Linked DNA regions of Drosophila melanogaster. The protein of the gene in region 2 interacts with the protein of the main gene of each other region in a pairwise test. Each region holds a gene or a part of one and is shown on either strand. Other genes may lie near its edges.

What was found.
Region 1: the proteins of CG17777 (region 2) and CG13227 interact in a two-hybrid assay, tested with the Drosophila melanogaster proteins (one large-scale study listed by BioGRID).
Region 3: the proteins of CG17777 (region 2) and l(3)psg2 interact in a two-hybrid assay, tested with the Drosophila melanogaster proteins (one large-scale study listed by BioGRID).
Region 4: the proteins of CG17777 (region 2) and CG3906 interact in a two-hybrid assay, tested with the Drosophila melanogaster proteins (one large-scale study listed by BioGRID).

Annotation. Positions count from the first base shown.
Region 1 is NT_033778.4:11,233,355-11,236,277, reverse strand, and holds CG13227 (uncharacterized protein), read right to left. Parts: upstream 1,027-2,923; 5' UTR 989-1,026; coding exon 626-988; 3' UTR 523-625; downstream 1-522. Other genes in the region: CG13217 (uncharacterized protein), read left to right, coding at 1-11; CG34223 (uncharacterized protein), read right to left, coding at 74-261, 322-418; CG13228 (uncharacterized protein), read right to left, coding at 1,868-2,275; CG13218 (uncharacterized protein), read left to right, coding at 2,574-2,923.
Region 2 is NC_004354.4:2,184,899-2,188,296, reverse strand, and holds CG17777 (uncharacterized protein), read right to left. Parts: upstream 1,443-3,398; 5' UTR 1,369-1,442; coding exon 1,357-1,368; intron 1,150-1,356; coding exon 829-1,149; 3' UTR 556-828; downstream 1-555. Other genes in the region: CG3457 (uncharacterized protein), read right to left, coding at 1-400; CG17776 (uncharacterized protein), read right to left, coding at 3,120-3,332.
Region 3 is NT_037436.4:5,581,801-5,589,707, reverse strand, and holds the start of l(3)psg2 (lethal (3) persistent salivary gland 2), read right to left. Parts: upstream 6,040-7,907; 5' UTR 5,702-6,039; coding exon 5,004-5,701; intron 4,950-5,003; coding exon 894-4,949; intron 828-893; coding exon 1-827.
Region 4 is NT_033778.4:23,510,636-23,513,903, forward strand, and holds CG3906 (uncharacterized protein), read right to left. Parts: upstream 1,591-3,268; 5' UTR 1,566-1,590; coding exon 942-1,565; intron 851-941; coding exon 752-850; 3' UTR 651-751; downstream 1-650.

The DNA.
Region 1 (2,923 bases), on a different chromosome or scaffold from region 2:
AGTTCCGCTAAAGCAACAGCACTCACCCAAAATATAGTCTAAGAGTTTCGTAATAAAGCTTAGTTAAGTAACATTAAAAGTTCCCTGTTTGGTATATGGGATTCAGAGCTCCATAGAACTGCAGTTCAGGTTCGGGAGTGGTGGTAGTTATACCCGTTTTGGTCCTAACGGTGGGCGGAGTTGGTGACTTAGGTTGAAGACGACTAAAGACAAGACGCACATGACTCGCAAAACTTCGCCACAGCTGAAAGGGTTTTGGAACTGGAAAAGGAATAAAATTAGAATTTTAGGATAATCAAATAACAAAATAACACACGTTACCTGAACTTTGAGGTGGTGCCACCTGCGGATCGAATTCCCGCTCATCCAGAGCTGCCACCAGCCCCACAGTGATCCACAGCAGCAGCAAGCGGAACATTTTCTGCAGCTTAGCCTCGTGGCCCCCTTATAAACACCTCCGATCTCAGCTTTCCCCGCCATAAATCGAACGTGTTATTAATAAACTCTTAAAAACAAGCGATTGGATGAACTTGCATAAGGCAAGCAATTTTATTGCACCCAATGGGGCAGCACAAAAGAAGTATCACAAATCACAATCAAGCACAATCAAATCCATGCAAACTGATTAGCCGTAGAATCCACCGCCATAGTAACCACCGCGTCCGCGGTAACGGGTGCGGGTGACCACTCGAGTTCTCTGGAAACCACCGCCGAATCCGCCACCAAAGCCGCCGCCGTAGTACGGTGGTGGAGGTGGTCCAAAGAAGGGTGGTGGCGGTGGTCCAAACGGTGGTGGTCCAAAGTACTGGCGCACTTTCCTAACGTTCTCGTCTGTGGAATCAGACTGGGCCGTTTCTCCGGCGTCCAGCAGCTGAATAGAGCTTGGTTTCTCCTGCACCACTTCCGTTTCCGTTTCATCGGCTCTAACAAAATTGCATAAGAGCAGAGCAGCAATGCTGAAGAAAAATATTATCCACTTGTGATCCATTTCGATGTCGTATTCCTTCTCCAACTTCGTCAAATACTAAAACTCATCGCCCAGCTGGGCTTTAATTTATAGCCAAACATTTGCCAAGAACACCCAGCACCTGGTGTCATAAACAAAGGCAGTTCATTGGCATTTCTTGATTGCCATTGAGTGTCTTTTTTTACATTTTTCGTCTAATTTCAATCGCAGTCAGGCAAAGACGCCGAGAATAATCGTCGGTTTGAAAAACCCAAAAAATCGCTTATACAAATACATAAGGTTGACCCAATCTTAATGGGTATATAAAATGAATTATGATGCGGAAGTGTGAGGCAACCGTGGAACGCAAACTAGATCTCTTTGGATTGTAACTCGATGTGCAACTGATTGAGATCATAATGGGTAGATAATTAACTGTGAATGATGCAAGGTTACTATAATAATAATCAGAGTAAAATATATTCTTAAGATCCATATTTGAAGTACCAAGTAACCAGATACCATTTGAGACGAACATTCTTGACATGACAAGACAAATCAACAAAAGTCGATAAAGACTACAATTAGCAATCCGATAACCCACAATTGGATACCGCTCTTCAGGCCAGCCAACTTGACCCACTGTAATCGCTTGATGGCTTGTTGTTTACCACTTAAAAAGCCCATCCGCCTCGCCTCGCGCGATATTCGACATACATATGTACATATATATATGGAAGCAAATAGCAGCGAGAGACTCTTCCAGAAATAACAGCCAGTTAACTACGGAATATGCAAGCTCATCGACTTTGTCGATTCCAAACACTCGGCAAAATGAAACTCGATCTTGCAGTACTTTTTTGTTTATCCATTGTTTACACTAGAGGGTCTCAAGAAACGCTCAGATTTATTCGGAAACGTCTAGCCAAAGAAACCGCCTTTGAATTTGGCAAAACCCACAGCGCCGCCAACGAATCCGCCGCCTCCGATGCCACCTAGTCCGCCCAATCCTCCTCCAACGGGATAGCCACCGCCATATCCGTAGCCATAGCTGGGTATCGTCTGTATGACGGGAACAGTGGTGATGATGGGCACAGTGGACACAACGGGAACTGTTTGGATAGCGGGGGCTGCCACTATGGGGGCAGCAACTCCTCCGCCTCCGATGATGCCGCCGCCCACGATACCGCCTCCAACGACTCCGCCACCTCCAAATCCACCAATGTGACGGGGTCTTCTAATGTTCTCCTCGTCGACGCTGGAGAGGATCGGTGTGGTGCTGACCACGGCGCACGCCAAGACGAGCAGGTAGACAGTTTGCCACAACATGATGGGGTTAACTGTTTGGTCTGCCCCACTCCCAGCTGCTTATTTATGCAAATTAATTAGTGGCCACTGTTTGCACTTCCAATTTGCATATTGGGGCGCCCGGGTAAAAAACCCATAACTCTAAGGCCCCATCTATGTTTTGGCGGTTCTATTGGGGGAATCATGGTTTTGCCCACTGGTAAGGTGGTTCACACCTCATCATCGTCATCGTTTGTGGTCTGAAGGTCGCCGGCCTGGGCATTAAAAGCCAGGTGATTTAGTTAAGGTAACTCACATCGTTATTGGACACTCAGCCGAGATGAGGTGCGATCTTCAAGTGCATTTTTTGTTATTACTGGCAATTGGCGCTTGGCGGACTGAAGCCCATTCCCTGGGAGGAGGTGGAATCGGAGCGGTTGGAGGAGTGGCAGCCATTGGCGGAGTTGGTGGCATCGGAGGAGTCCAGCAGGTTCCCGTTGTGCAACAAGTGCCCGTTGTCCAACAGGTTCCCGTCGTGCAACAGGTGCCCCTCATCCAACAGCAGCCGCAAGCTCTTGGCCTAGCAGGTGGAGGTGGATTCATTGGTGGCGGAATCGGAGGTGGTGCCGGTTTTGGACGCTACAAGGAAAGCTATCGCGTGCGAGCGAGGGGATTCGGTGGTGGATACCG
Region 2 (3,398 bases):
AGCCGGAATTAGTGGTGCCAGTGGTTGTGGTGGCCGTGACGGCGGACGAGGGTCTCAGTATCTCCTCCTGAGTGGCCGGAGTCGGGGTCGTCGACGTGGTGTACGATGCGGAGGAGGGTGTCTCCGAACGGTAGCCCATTCCCGTAATGTACGACCCGGACCCAGAACCCGAGCCCGATCCAGACCCTGATCCGGATCCCGATGCGGTTTCCGTGGCCGTTTCCGTGTTGGAACTGCAACTTGCCGTTGTTCCCGAAGTGGAGGCGTCGTCTCCGGGGAGGGCGTCCTGAGAAAGCCTAGGTCGCGGGGCGCCCTTTAACTTGTTCTTTTGGCGGGCAACCTCATAGTCCTTGAGATCGGACAGCTTGAGTGTGATTTTCTGCAGATCGCGCTTCAGCATCTCGAAGTCGAATTCCTGATTTTTGCTGATGATCCGAAAGACTGGTGGTCACGCGCCGATCGCAATTAGAACAGTGACTTTTGTATAACAGTCACTGGGCCAATAGCGGCTTTATACCTTCACTGGCCCCCATAGAGTGACCGAAAATCACTTTTACTGTCATACATATGCAATGTAATCGATTCTTTATTGTTGAGTAGGATTTAACTTTGTTTACATATGTACATATATCATATTTGTACTACATCCAACCCAAATTCAAAGACATGCGAGTAATGTATTCGCTATTTGCAGTACATTTATATTGCGGTGAATGATGGGGGAAAACCAGTACATATACATATACGAATGATGGTGCAGTGATGAGCATGGAGCGATCGAGAAAAAAAAAACAGTATGCATTACGATCTTGGGGATAGGTAGTGGTCCTAGTAGAAGCCGTAGTGGCCATGGTGGTACGGATAGTAGCCGTGGTGTCCGCCGTAGTAGGGCGCCGCATGGACGTATCCGTAGCCGCCGTAGTAGGGACTGCTCAGTCCACCGTAGCCGCCGTAGTGACCGTGTCCATAGGCACCGTATCCGCCGTATCCGCCGTAGCCGCCATAGCCGTGGCCGAACCCGTAGATGCCTCTCTTCTCCGTCTTCTTCTCATCCACGGCGGATGGCTCCGGCTCCAGAGCTTCAGGAGCAGGCTCCGAAACTGCTGCCCAGGTGCTCATGAAGCAAATGGCCAGGATGACGAACACGCACTGCACAGAGAAAAAAAGGTTCGGTATATGAAACATTTGAAACGATGTTAACAAATGATTTGTTTCAAATTGTAGCCAGAGCACTTCCAGCAATTTTAAATAACTTGTATTTTGTTGGATAAACTGTCACTCAAAAAAAAGTCCACTCGTTTGCTTGACCGGTGTCCTGGTATCCTGGTATCCTAATGTCCTGGTGTTGCTGCTTACCAAGAACTTCATGTTGCTGCTGCAGATGTTGCTAGTGGCTGTTGGCTGGTTGACTTGATGGGTAGGGCGCCAGGCGAGGTTTGTTGATGGCTGCCAGTGGCCCGACGCTTTTATAGTCACCCGGCTTGGCTTATTGTTGCCAGTTGCTGCTACAGTTGCAATTATGCAAACTGACAATAACGGCGGCAGCAGCAGCAGCAGCAGCGATTGTTGCAGCTGAATTGAATGCATGACGGGTTGAGGACTTGAAACCGAATATTGTTTATGCTGCGGAGCCAAAAGGTCATCCATCCGCTCATCCGGCGGAGGAGAACTTGGCGGAGGATTGCAGTGGGGGGAGTGAGGTGGAGTGGGCGTGGAAACTAACGATATCGGTTATAATTGCCAGCGTAGTCGAAATTCTAAGATCCCAGGCTCGTTGGGTAACCGAAGTGGGGCAGCAACGCGATCCACAAGCAACGTGCAACACGAGACACTCGACGCGTTCCACAATCACCAAGTGCCCCTCTCGTACACGGTATGCATATCGTGTAACACTTTCACTGCCAGATCGGATGGCCAGCAGCGCCCAAAAGGCGCACTATTACCTAAGCTCGTTCAGAAGCTGGCCAAATGCTGGGATGCCACTGGCCCCGTGGGAATCGCATATGCGCGCCAGCATTATACACAAATTACAAACAATTGCACGTTTGGCAGCGTTTTGGCATTTTAATTAAGCTGCCAGACAGCTGAGATCTCTGCCAGATCATTTCCAATGCAAAGTCTTATCGACAGAATATCCAAAGTGCACGACTTTGACGGAGACCTCTGGCTTAAGGGGTATATTGGGACAAGGATCGGTGACCAGGTCAATGGTCATTAGTTTTAATGGGCTTGAAACTAGGTTGAAGAGATCTTCTATTCAGAGGAGCACAGCTTTTGCTTAATATACTAAAGTTTTAAAACAATTTGATAGCCATTTGGGCAGACGACTCTGTTCTGCGCGTTCCATTATTCTCGATCACTTCCGTCTGCCGGGGGTACTTGCTACCCAGTACCCAGTGCCGTGCCCACACAATAAAGGACGACCTTGACCGCAGTGGCAATTGCAAATCGCAATTGCAGTCTGCTGCGGCTGTTGCTTTTGCTGCTCCGAGTTCCCAAGTCATGAATGAAGCAACGCCGGAGGCAACATTGTTGAATGAAGCATGCAAAAGATTTTCCCAATCGACGACGTCTCGCCATCTCTGGCCAAAAGTGGGTGGCACCGCCATTGTCTCCTTCTCCCCGCGGTTGTTTTCGTATCCACATCGTTTAATATTTATGCTCTGCCCATTGGAGGTGAATGCACGCGAGACGCGTTGGGCAAGCGGAAGACCAAGCAGCCAAGGGGTTTGGTCTATGGACTGGGACCTGGTCACGATCCGGAGATGACAACATATTTGATTGCCAGCTAAATTATAATTCTTGACTAAGTCTAGTCCGCCGAACGGGTCGATGTCCATGTCGCTGTCGATTGATTGATTTCCCATTGTAGCCGACCAGTTTGATTTACGGCCCAGACGGCTAATTGCGCATTGTTGGCTTGGTTCCAGGGTTAGATCTTGAATCTGGAATCTTACAATCCCACCGGGCCTGCCGACGGTCCTCCACTTTGGCCAGCTGTCCGAGGTTACACAACAACAACCGGCGTTGGCCGTTTTCAGCTGAAAATGCTTACATTTCCTTACAGTTTATTGCGCTTAACAGACATTTAACAATTAAAGGGGCGGAGGAGGGCGCGCCTAGTACTTCAGTTCCTTGGCCTTGTCGTGGGCTCCCTCGTCCAGGAGCTTCAGCTCCGCCTGCTGCTTCTCCGGTCGGATGACCGTGCAGTAGTGGTAGTAGCGCATTCCCAGGATGTAGGTGCCGTACAGGGTGACTCCAATGCAGGCATACACCGCGCCGCGGTGCAGCTTGTCCAGCAGCGTGTTGGTGTTAATCGGCTTCTTCTGCATGGCGGCAAATCCCTTCCAAGTCCATAAAAGTTTCCGGCAGTCGAGTCCGTCGCCTCAGCTGGTCTG
Region 3 (7,907 bases), on a different chromosome or scaffold from region 2:
TGAATTGAGACGGCAGTTCGGGTAGAGGCGGCAGCTCGGGCAGAGGTGGTGGTGTGAAGTAAGGAGTTTCCAACGCGGGAGATGGCGTCGTGTCAGTAGAAACAGGCAAGGGCACAGGTAGCGGCACTGGAACAGGAACTGGAACAGGTAATGGTACCATTGTAGCCGACTGAGGATAACCCTGATAACCACTTCCATCCAACACGGGTATGGGTTGTGGCAGGACATTAACAGGCACAGGAGAAACTGCAGCTCCACTTGACGTTGGCGGCGGACCACTCAGGTAATAGGGCATCCCATTGGGTACAGGCATGGGCATCGCTAGGGGCGGTGGAGGATGTTTGCTAAAGAATTCCTTGAGCATTGCTCCTCTCGTGACAGCATCGACATGCGCAGGTATAAATGGTGGGCGGTGTCGCAGGAATCCTGGAGGAATCTGCGGCAGGCGACCGGTCTTCATTAGCATGGCAAAATGCTTGGGATCGAATGGAGGGCGGTAGGCTGAACGCAGCGTGCGTGTGTACGTCTTCACTATTGCACACTTGAAAGGATCAAAATGAAAGTATCGGAACTTCGGTTTCTTCTGCACCAAAACAGGCTTTTCCAGATTAGCTGGCTTGGTTGTCAGTGGAGGCGGTGGTGGTGGAGGCAACAGAAGTAGCTCATCGCGAATCAGTTGCAGCTTGGCGGCGGCTTGGGAGCGACTTTCGTGATATTTCCGCAGGGCACGTTTCACCGCCATTTCAACGACCGCCCGGTCTTCGTTGTCGCTCTCGTATGCGGGCAGCACCTTATCCACGAAATTAACGCCTTTTCCCTTTGGTTTGCTAAAAATAATTACATTGTTACTATATATATTACTATATATAAATAAATTTAAAACCCTGTTTTACCTCGTGTCCTCAACTGGTTTATCTGTTGCATCTGGCACTATGTTCTCCTCTGCTTCCAGTATATCCTCCCCAGAAGGTACTATCTCCAAAACGTTTCCTTTTTGTACGGCCACTGGCATCCCTGACGCCGTAGCCGCCATCGATGGCATTGCCTCCAATGGCGCTATAGGAGCAAGGGATTCCACGGGCATCATCGGCGCCATAGGTAGTTCCCTAAGAACCGATCCAGGTGCCTGAGGTGAAGAAGCTACTTCGACCATATAATCCATGTACGTATTCGAATATTCTTCAGAGTACTGTGCATACGCTTGTTCCATGTTGTACGCGGAGTCCATATATGCGGCATAAGCATCATAGCCCTCACCCAATGCGTTCTGATCCTCCTGCTGCATCAATGACATATTGTAGTAGTAGGCAGCCGCTTCCATGCCCTGATTTTCCTCAAAATAATTAGCGAAAGCTTCCTCTGCTGATAATCGAGACCTTGGTGATATAGACCGTGATCTCGACCTGGAAAACGATCTCCTTCTGGTTGGTGATCGTGCTTTGGACCAACTGCGTCTCATCGGAGGAGACGGTGGTTTGAAGGGTAAGGGCGAACGGGAGCGAGATAAGTGTTCACGTTCCCGATCACGACTTAGTGATTGACGACGGCGGGAAGGAGGTGGTGACCGAGGTCCAGCCAATTTTTGTGGAATAGGAGATATTGAACCTCGTTTTCTATGCCCTGCTGGTGGCAACCGTCTTCGTCTACTTGGACTCCTACTGCGCGTTCGACTCCTTGTTAAACTTCTACTATGACTCCTGCCTTTCCTAGTTCCTCCGACGGCTCCTCCTCCTATTCGCTTAGCGTATCTGGAAACTCTTCTGGGCGATGGAAGACGTCGGCGTCTGGGGCTGGGAGTACGCGACTTGGTCCTCGAGCCGCGACGTCGTGCCCTACTTCTTGAAATAGAACGGGACCGGGATCTACGACGACTTCCTGATGATGGTGGCGGACTCCTTAGCTTAGGCTTTGATCGAGATTCGACAATGGTGGGTTTCACAATGGCAATCTCCTTTTGTGGCTTTTGCAGAGTTTGTTTGGGAGGCTCCGCCTTGGATGTTTCCGGTAGATCTGCTTCATCCTTGTCGAAGATGACAGATTTCCTAGTCAACTTCAATGGCGAGATGGTCAGTTTGATGGCTTCCCGATTGGCACTGAAGATGCTGTTTACAGGAAATGATGTTTCCTTAACCACCTCTTGTGCCTGAACAGTTCCCTGTTCATCCACTGGCTGCTGATCCTCACTGGAATTGCTTTTAAGTTCCTGTTTGCGATACTTATCCATGATGGCATTGCGCTGCATTAGAAATAAGGATTCCATTTTTAGCAGTTCTTCAGAGATCTCATCGCCCGCATCATAGTTCTCACGCATCATCTGAATCCTAGCCAGATTGTCTTCAAGGCTCTTTAATTTCCGTAGGTCCTTGCTTACATTGTTTTTCTTTTGCAGCTGCTCCTTACCAGCGGCTTCATCCTGATTTGTGTTGCAATTACCGGATGTTGTGGCCGATTCATCATTCGAAGAGCTTTCATTGGCATCGTCATCTGAACTGGAGTCATCCTCGGTTTCGCTACTGCTGCTACTTGTTGAGGAAGTCTCAGTGCCCGAGGAACTTTCTTCGGCTGGGGAATTGCTCAAGGAACTGTTCTTTGAGGTGTCCAGCGTTTCTGGCTCCAAATGCTCGTTGGACATCTTAATACTATTCATGAATTTGTCATATAGTTCATGGATGTTGCCCTCGGGCAGGTTCTCATTTTTCCTTCGCGGAGGAGGTGTGCTTTTTGCATTCCACAGAGCGTTGGAGTCATCATCGTCATCATCGCCATTAAATTGCGAAGCTACTGGTGGCAAGGGTGTAGCGTTAAGAGATGCGTTTGCATTTGGAGCGGGAGTAGGAGTAACAGGAGGTGCGTTCTTGGGCATACTGGCCAATGAATCGTCGTTTTCCCAGTTGTCGATGTAGTCATCCGTATCGGGACTTTCCTGCTCTTTTGCCGGTGGAGGAGCATTGGTCGCCACTGCACCGTTTCTAACCAGCACATCGTGCTCCATGTGCCGGGGAGGCGTTGCATTGCGTTCGATTTTTATAGTGGTTCGAGTAAAGTTCGTTTGCAGAGGCGGGGGTGTAAGATCTTTTTCTTTCTTAATGCTGAATTTTGTATACTCATCACTCTTTCTTGGTTGGAATCCAGTTAGCTGACTGCCATTTAATTGATTTCTTTCGAGTTCTAGATCCCTATCCCAATTCTCAACCTCACTGTCGTGTCTTTGAAATCGTCTCTCCTTGCTTGAAGGGCGAGAGGAGGATTTCCTCCCGCTTAATACTGATTCGCGCTTGAAAGGATTTATATGTCGTGGTTGGCTTTTGTGATGCTCGACCTCTGCCCTACCAGTCGCAGATCTATTATGCCTGCTATTCGGAAGGTATTCAGCTTTAATCTCTTTGGGAGCCTCTTTTCTCTCTTTGTATTCATTAGTGCGACGGAACAACTGCTCTTTAGTAGCTAGTAGATTATCCAAATGCAAATCGCTCTCCTCGAGCAGGGCGCCAATCCTACTGTGAATCTCACTGGCCTTGAGCAGAGGAGCCAGTTTGTCGGCTTTAGCGATGGGGACAATAGGAATGGATGACTTCAACGGCGGCGTTGTACTCCTTTCAATAGTTGCAGCTGGAGCTGAAACGGCAGTGTTTACTCGTGGAGGTGAGTCGGCAAAAATATCAAAGTCCTTGGGATTTGCGATATCAACAATTGGAGTCTGAGGGATCTGAACTTGTGGTGGTGTCATTGGGGGAGTTCCTTCCCTGCTCCCCCAAGGCGAAAGCGTCTGATTTTTTCTTCTTGATGCGTGTTCTCTTGTTTTTGCACTTTCACTGAAGGATTCATGCGGCATGCTTGATCTCTTGGAGCCATCCAATCCATTTTCTTGTGGCGGATGCTCCATTAATGTGTCCTTGCCGCTTTCCTTTGGGCATTTCGTTACTGATTGTTCTCTCGATCGCTTTATTTGCTTGTCCTTTGAACGTTCGTCTGTTTTTTCTCCCAATGGCCCCAAGAGTTTGTCCTTTTTGCGATCAGTTGGCGCTTCCTTTGAATTTTCTATTGCATTTCTTACTTTCTTTGCTTCAGGCTTTCTTTCTTCAGACTTATTCTGCGTTCTTTCATGCAGTCTTTCCTTAGAATGGTTTCTATCTTTGGAACGCTCTCGAAGCTTTTTATTTGCGTTTTCTTCATTCGTATCCTTATTTTTAACCTTGGATTCATTTCTTTTTTCGCTATGCTCGGTAGATTTTCCTTCAAGCTTTTCCTTGGATAAGTCTTCATTCTTTTCCTTATCGCCTAGCTTTTCCTTTGATTTTTCTCGACGCTTATCCCTTGAACTGGACCTTTTCCTTGATTTTGCTCTAGTATGTTCCGCGTCGTTTGCCTTACTTCTGGTTTGATCTCTGGCTTGTGATTTTTCACGTGTTTTATTCCTAGTCCGATCTCTCTCCCTAGATCGGTCTTTAGTTTTACCTCTGGATTGATCTCTTTCCTGGGACTTTCCACTCGCTGTATTTCTAGGCTCACCTCCAACTTCATCCTTTTCCTTAGATAGATTCATACTTTTTGCTCTATTTAAATTTTTATCTTGGGATCTTTCTCTACTTTTCCGTCGAAACAAATCTCTTTCTCTTCCTTTCCCTCTGCCTTCATCCTTGTTCTTGGAGTTTTCAGTGGACTTTCCGTGCGATTCTTTCGACCTCTCCCTAGTTCTTCCTCGATTTTGGGTTCTGTCATGGGATCGATTACTTGTTTTTCCTCTGACGTAATTTTTGTGCTGGGGCAACTCTCTCGATCGATTGTTTTCAATTAAGGGTTCAGTGGACTTTGTTTCGCTGGGAAGTTTTGATTCCTTGGAGTTGTGGTCAGTAGTTTCCGCTTTAGTCCTGCAGTTCTCATGCTTTGTATTGGAGCACTCGGAAACAAGATTAAAGACAAAGGACACTGGCGGTTGCAATGCTGTCCAACTAAAATTAATCATATTAAACCTAACTTTCTACATAAATATGGAATTTACTTACATCACATCCGATTGGAGTCGCTTGCAACGACCTGAATTGCTGTTAATACCTGTAGGTGGTGGATTTTGAGGTGCATACGCTCCCGGCGGAGGTCCTTGCGTTGGTAGCCCACCCATCATGGGAGCTCCCATGCGATTCGCTGCGGGTGGGCGACCAAAGAATGTTGGTCGCATGCCCCTTGGTCCGCCCCTGTTCATTCGGGGCATAAAGCCCATGCGTGGAAATTCAAAGCAAGGAGCTCTCATGTGGAATCTTAGCGGATTAATGCCCAAGAACGGCGTGGGCGGTGCTTGGGGCAGGGTAGCAGCTGCAGCCTCCTCCTGCTTTTCCTTCCTCGCCTTCTGCACATCTTCTACGTTTTTGAGGTCCTCCCCCGAGGAGTCCGATTCCGAATAGAGGCCTTCGCTATCGTCCGCATCCTCGGCTTGGGCATTTGGTGTCCCGCCAGATCCGTTCTCTTTGCGCGCCTGTTCCACAACGCTAACTGGTAGCTTCCGTAATGTTTTGCTTATCATCAGCTCTTTGGACAGGTGCTTTTTGACTGCCGGACTGCTGGGATGATAATGGGGCGGGGTCACCACCTCGCCCGGTTCCAGACTGTTGGTGTCATTGTCCTGGAGATCCTCCGGGGGCTTCAACTGTTTGCCAGTGGCTGGCTGCTCCATTCCGACGGCAGATCCTCCAGCTGCTTGCGACATTTTCACATCCGGCGACCTCAAATCGGTTTGCCCCTCACTCCGTCCCCCTTTTCGATGATTCTTTCTTGTTGTTTGCGGGCGCACACGCTTTTCTTTTTCTGCTCTCTCAATGGCGGCGCGGTGTTGCTGGGTATCCACGCAGCGTTTTCCCCTGCCGAGCGGTAATATTGATTGGGCTGCGCGGGCGGACGTCCTCGTCGGTTGCAGCGGTGCACCAGCTCGGCGTTTGCGGTATCATGTACGTTTCCGTTTAATGTTTATGCCATTATGAAAAACCAAAGCCAATAACTTTTCTGCAGCGAGTAAACACTACTCAATGCAGAACAGAGACTGGGCACATTGAATCTATCGGCAGGCAGTACTGCCAGACCGCTATTACCAAATTTACTTAAAAAGAAGATACAAATTTGGACATTTCTCTGCAGACATTTTTAAGATAGTTTTAAGTCCCCATTTTATTATACAGCAACATGGCACAATTTGTATTAATATTTGTTTAACTATCGCCGTCTTAACAGCACTGAAATTTTCCAGTGTGAAAACTACTGATATTATTAATGCTTCTAGTTCTATCGATATAATAGCGAATACACCCACCTTAACATATAGCGAGTGCACACTCTGTTAGCGTTGCCACACTATTTAAGTCGTTACGCTCCGATATTTTGAAATGGATTTTAAATTCATTAGCTTTTTTTATTTACTTAACGACTGTCTTTTACATGCTCGAAAAGTCGTCGTAACTGTGTGAAACACAATCAAACACCCAAATGCGCTTTACCGCTGCAGACTGCACTTGTTTCCGCTTCCTCTTGGCGAGCGGCATTCATTCGAATGCGAAGTGCAAATAAATGACAAATACGGTTACCGTTGTGCCCGCTAAACACACAGTCACTAAATATATATGAACAATATGTGCGCACAGTCAAGCGAATCGGAGAAAATGCGCCTAAGCGCTGATATTATGACATTGCCATTGCCCGCCGATTGAGGGAAATTCGAAAAAGGCGGAAAAGTTTCCCTCTGGCACATTGAGATGCATCAAATATGAAAAGAGTTTGAGTTTGCTGCACTTTTCCAATCAGATAATGTTTCTATATATATAATATATATATTTACAAATTATCATTTTCGTAAAAATTGTAGTGTTTTGTATAATGCATTTTAATTCAATTTCATTTTAATTAATAACAACAATTTACCTCAAGAGTTTAAACAAATGGATGTCCGTAATTAATCTAAACCTTTAACACTGCAGTTATGCTTCATTTTCATCTCAGTGCAACGGAGTTGCCTTTAATTGCCGACAGCGCTCTCAGTTTTTCTTTCATTTTTAGATTTGCATGTGCAACTTTCTCCGGCTGCCGACGTCGACGGCGCTGCTGCAGCGCTGCTGCAGCGCTGCGACAGAGGCGAAAGGTGCAAATTAATTTGTGGCGCTCCACAATAACCTTCCTCACTTTTATCCCCATCATCAAGCATAATCTCCTGCGTTTCAAACGATTTTCCATCGTTTTCTTCTCAGCTTTGTCGCGTTGCTCGGCTGAGCTGAGGTTCAAATATAAAAGCCGATCCCCAAAATGTGAGGTGTTATCTCATTTTGAAAATCACCAACTGCTAAGTGGATGCGCAATGAAAAAGCAAAAAAGTGCCACCATTGTTTGAGAACGTCGAAAAATCAACTTGGATGTCCCCGAGCAACGCTTGGGTTGAACATACGTACAATACTCATTGTATCCCATCACTTCTTCAAGCAGGGCTTTGACTTTGGGTTTTTCTGGGGCCATACATTGGCGACCACGAGACATCTCGAATTTGGCACTTGGGTGCGAAAACCTTGGAGAGCATAGCATCTTTGGGCTGGTGGTGGCTTTGTCCTTCGGAACATAAGGAACATCATATTGCGCGTATGTGGAAACAAGACTTCAAGTCCAGAAACTTAAGGATACGTTGTGAAACAAATGCTAGCTGTTTTCGATGTTAAACCAACGCACATAGCATTTTCAACTAAGCATTAAGCATTCCTCTGAGTAAAGCAACCCAGTTTTCCATTTCCAAAAACTTTCTTAAATCACTTTCCTAAGTAGCCAACACCCACAGACTGCATAGCTTCCTCCTCTGCCATAACTCAATTTATTAAGCATTTAAACCAAATATGTGCGGCTACAAATGTGGCTAATTTTTCCCCCGCGAGCATATTTATTTA
Region 4 (3,268 bases), on a different chromosome or scaffold from region 2:
ATAAGCCACTCCCGTCGATGCCTGAAATACGTTCGCCTTAAACACGGAAGACTGATGGCAAATCAAATACCCAGCTGGGACAGCCAAGTGGCGCAGGAGGGTTGTCCCTAATGGGAAAGCACTCGCAATCCATGGGAGGCCTCTACTAGTAATACAATTGGCTTTAAGGTGTAAGTTGTGTGCCAAAGAAATTCCGTGGCTGAATGTAAAATCAAACAATTTAAAATATACTATGGCGCACTTTTGAATTCCGCGACTCAAAGAACAAATTTCAAATATTCCAGAGCTGCCTAAGTAATAATGCAAAGTTACTTCAAGAAAGTTGTAGATAACAGCCTCAATATACGCTGCCAACTTCAGGTTTTCCGGGTAATGGAAATGGAAATGGCTGCAGGCGGAATGGTTTGAAATGAAAAGAACCACGTAAAATGTCGTGGATCGATTATCTCCAACACGAATCCTTCCTTCCTCGACACTTCCGCTGCAGTTACCACCCATGGATGCCAATTACAAGTGGAGCCCGCTGAAGGCGACGAGGCCGTACTGAAAACTTGTTGATGTCCTACCGGGCACGGCGGGTGGTAATTGCACCACCCACTGCCACACAACATTCCGCACCCAACAAACAGGACAGGTGTCAACCGTGAGTTCGCTTCTGCGGAACAGTTTCCTTTCACTTGTTGCTTTATTGGGCTTACATACATACAATGGAGACACATTGAATACTCCACTCCGGCTACGAGTACTCCACTCACCACTGGAAGATGGTCAGCATGGCGCGTAGCAGCTCTGGGATGTCCCAGCCGTTCTTGCGCAGGGTGCGCAGTGGCTTCACCACGTCGCGCTTGTTCTGCAGGATAATTGAGGAAGTGAGAATGAGAAGTAAAGGAGTTAATACACTGCCACACTCTTGTGTACTCAACTCGAGTGGGTCTACTCACAATGTTGGCCTTGAGCGTGGCCTGGAATTGCTTGGAGACCACCGCCTTGGTGAAGTTGCCGAAGTTGGTGTGATTCGCCTGGGACTGTGCCACATAGTTGTGCACCTCCTGCTTCGGCATGATGGAGAGCAGATCGCCGACGAAGGTGTGGTGCTTCACGGCCTTGCAGTCGCAGTTGCGATCGGGCTGGCGGACGGGCAGTATGATGCAATGGAAGATATCCGCCACGGTCTCAATGTCGGCGGTATCCACGCTCTCCGACTGCAGTTCCTTGAGAACGGTCTTGTAGGCATCCGTATCCGTGAGCTGCTGGGTGGTCCTCTCGAATCCGGCTGTGTTGTAGTACCGCATGGCGCGGCGGAACTTCAGATCACAATTGTAGTGCACCTCGATCAGATTGAGCAGGGCCTCCTGATTGATCATAGCGCGAATGTGCTGGAAGTTGGCGCACAGGGCGGAGTCGTGATCGGTTCTATTCGGATTGTTATTATCGGTATTGTTATTTTCTGGTGGACACCATTCCTCTGATTCCTCGGACACCTCAATGTAATGTGGCTGTGCGATCGTGTGGCAGGCGAATATGGCCACGGCCACGGTCAACAGTATCAACGTCTTCGCGTCCATCGTCTCCTTTTTAGCTGGCCGAGATTCAAGTTAACTGTGGCCGGAACCCGCCGTTCATCACCTGCTTTTATGGCCCTCCCATCGGCGGCAGAGTCAATTACATGCATTTCCCCTTTTCTCGGACACATCGCTTATCGCCTGCCAATTAGCGGAATTCGTCCGAGCCACTTTCCGCTTATCAGTTGGCCAAAAACAAGCCGTGTCATATGTGCGAAAATGGTAAACACTATTCAACATTAGCGCCAAGATAAGAGCGGATCGTGTTCTAAACATCTTTTCACACTTGAAAACAATGATTCACAAAAGTGGGTTGTTCATTCCTTCGTGAATAAACCAGCAGGATATATAGGATATGAATTGTGCTATTTATCTGATGTTCTCTTAGTGCACAACATCTAATTGTTTGCCATTAGAGCTTATAATTTCCGAAATTCGCTTATAATCTCTGGGCTCTGCGCTTCATTAATTGCAAATTAGAGTTGCTCCCATGCTGCCCACCAAAAAGCCTTATGACTTATGCACCTGATGCTCCTCGTCTGTGTGCATGTGATTATGACTTTGGGGGAGTGAATGTAGTATGTATGGTCAAACCCACTCATTAGTTCCGTAGTTCTGGCAGGATGGGAGAAAACAGGACGAGGGGACTCGTCAAAGTGAGTCCAACGTTTATCCACAGGACCAAGTGCTCAGACCCCAGAGTGCAAAACAAGTTTGGTGGGGCATCAGGAGCAAAAGGACCCAGCTGTCCAGAGGGGGGGCAGTGATTGTTTGGCCAGGGGCTTCGCTCCTCAACTTGCTTGATTCATGGCCCTCTGTTTGCAGAGCTACTCGCAGGAGATTCAAATTCCATTCGAGCTCGGACGAAAGTTTCCAGCACTTTTCGGCACTCAATGGATTGAATGAAATCTGGCGAATTCAGGAAAAAATGGAAAAATTCTGCGTAATAATATTAATAATCATGCGCCTCGCTGGGCACATTTATCTTGCCGCAATTGTCATGAGTTTCTGGGCTCCGAAGATATCTCTTCCGCTTTCATGACAAACAAATGTAGCAAATATTTGCCAACCAATGGACCGGAAATAGTTCCATTCAACATTTTCTTTTTTTTTTGCTTTGTTTTCATGTTTACGCCTTTTTTTGCAATTTTTTTGCAATGCTCGAACTCAATTGCGAATTCGGAGACATGGGAAAAATACAAATTGCAGCGAGTTTTACAACAGAAAATAGTTCCAATTTTCCTGTAGTTAAACTTGCTTCCACTTAAGCTTAATCGGCGATTTATTTCAGTGGATAAAATAGTTGGCGCAGCCGGTACAAAATTCAATTCAATTCGGCAGTCAGCAGCTCAAATGAAGCAAATAAACTGCATGCAGTGTGCAAACTTTTGGCCAAAGGTGAAGTTCAGCTCAGATGGCTTACAAACGACCCCTTTTGGCCCGGAAAATGGCATGGCATGCTACACACACATTTCACTTTGCATGTGAGCGCTTTTCCTCAACTATCCGCTCGTTATTTAATTGCGGTTTCCTGACCTTGACTAACGTTTAATTAATGCTGGCGGCCAATAAATTGTCATAACCAAAGCAAACCGCAGAGCCACTTTTTAGCCCGTTTCCGCAGGCGAGTGACACACGATAACCGCACGTCAGCAAGACATGGCCACAAAGTTGCTCGCATCTGGCCAACCATTTTCATTTCCCCC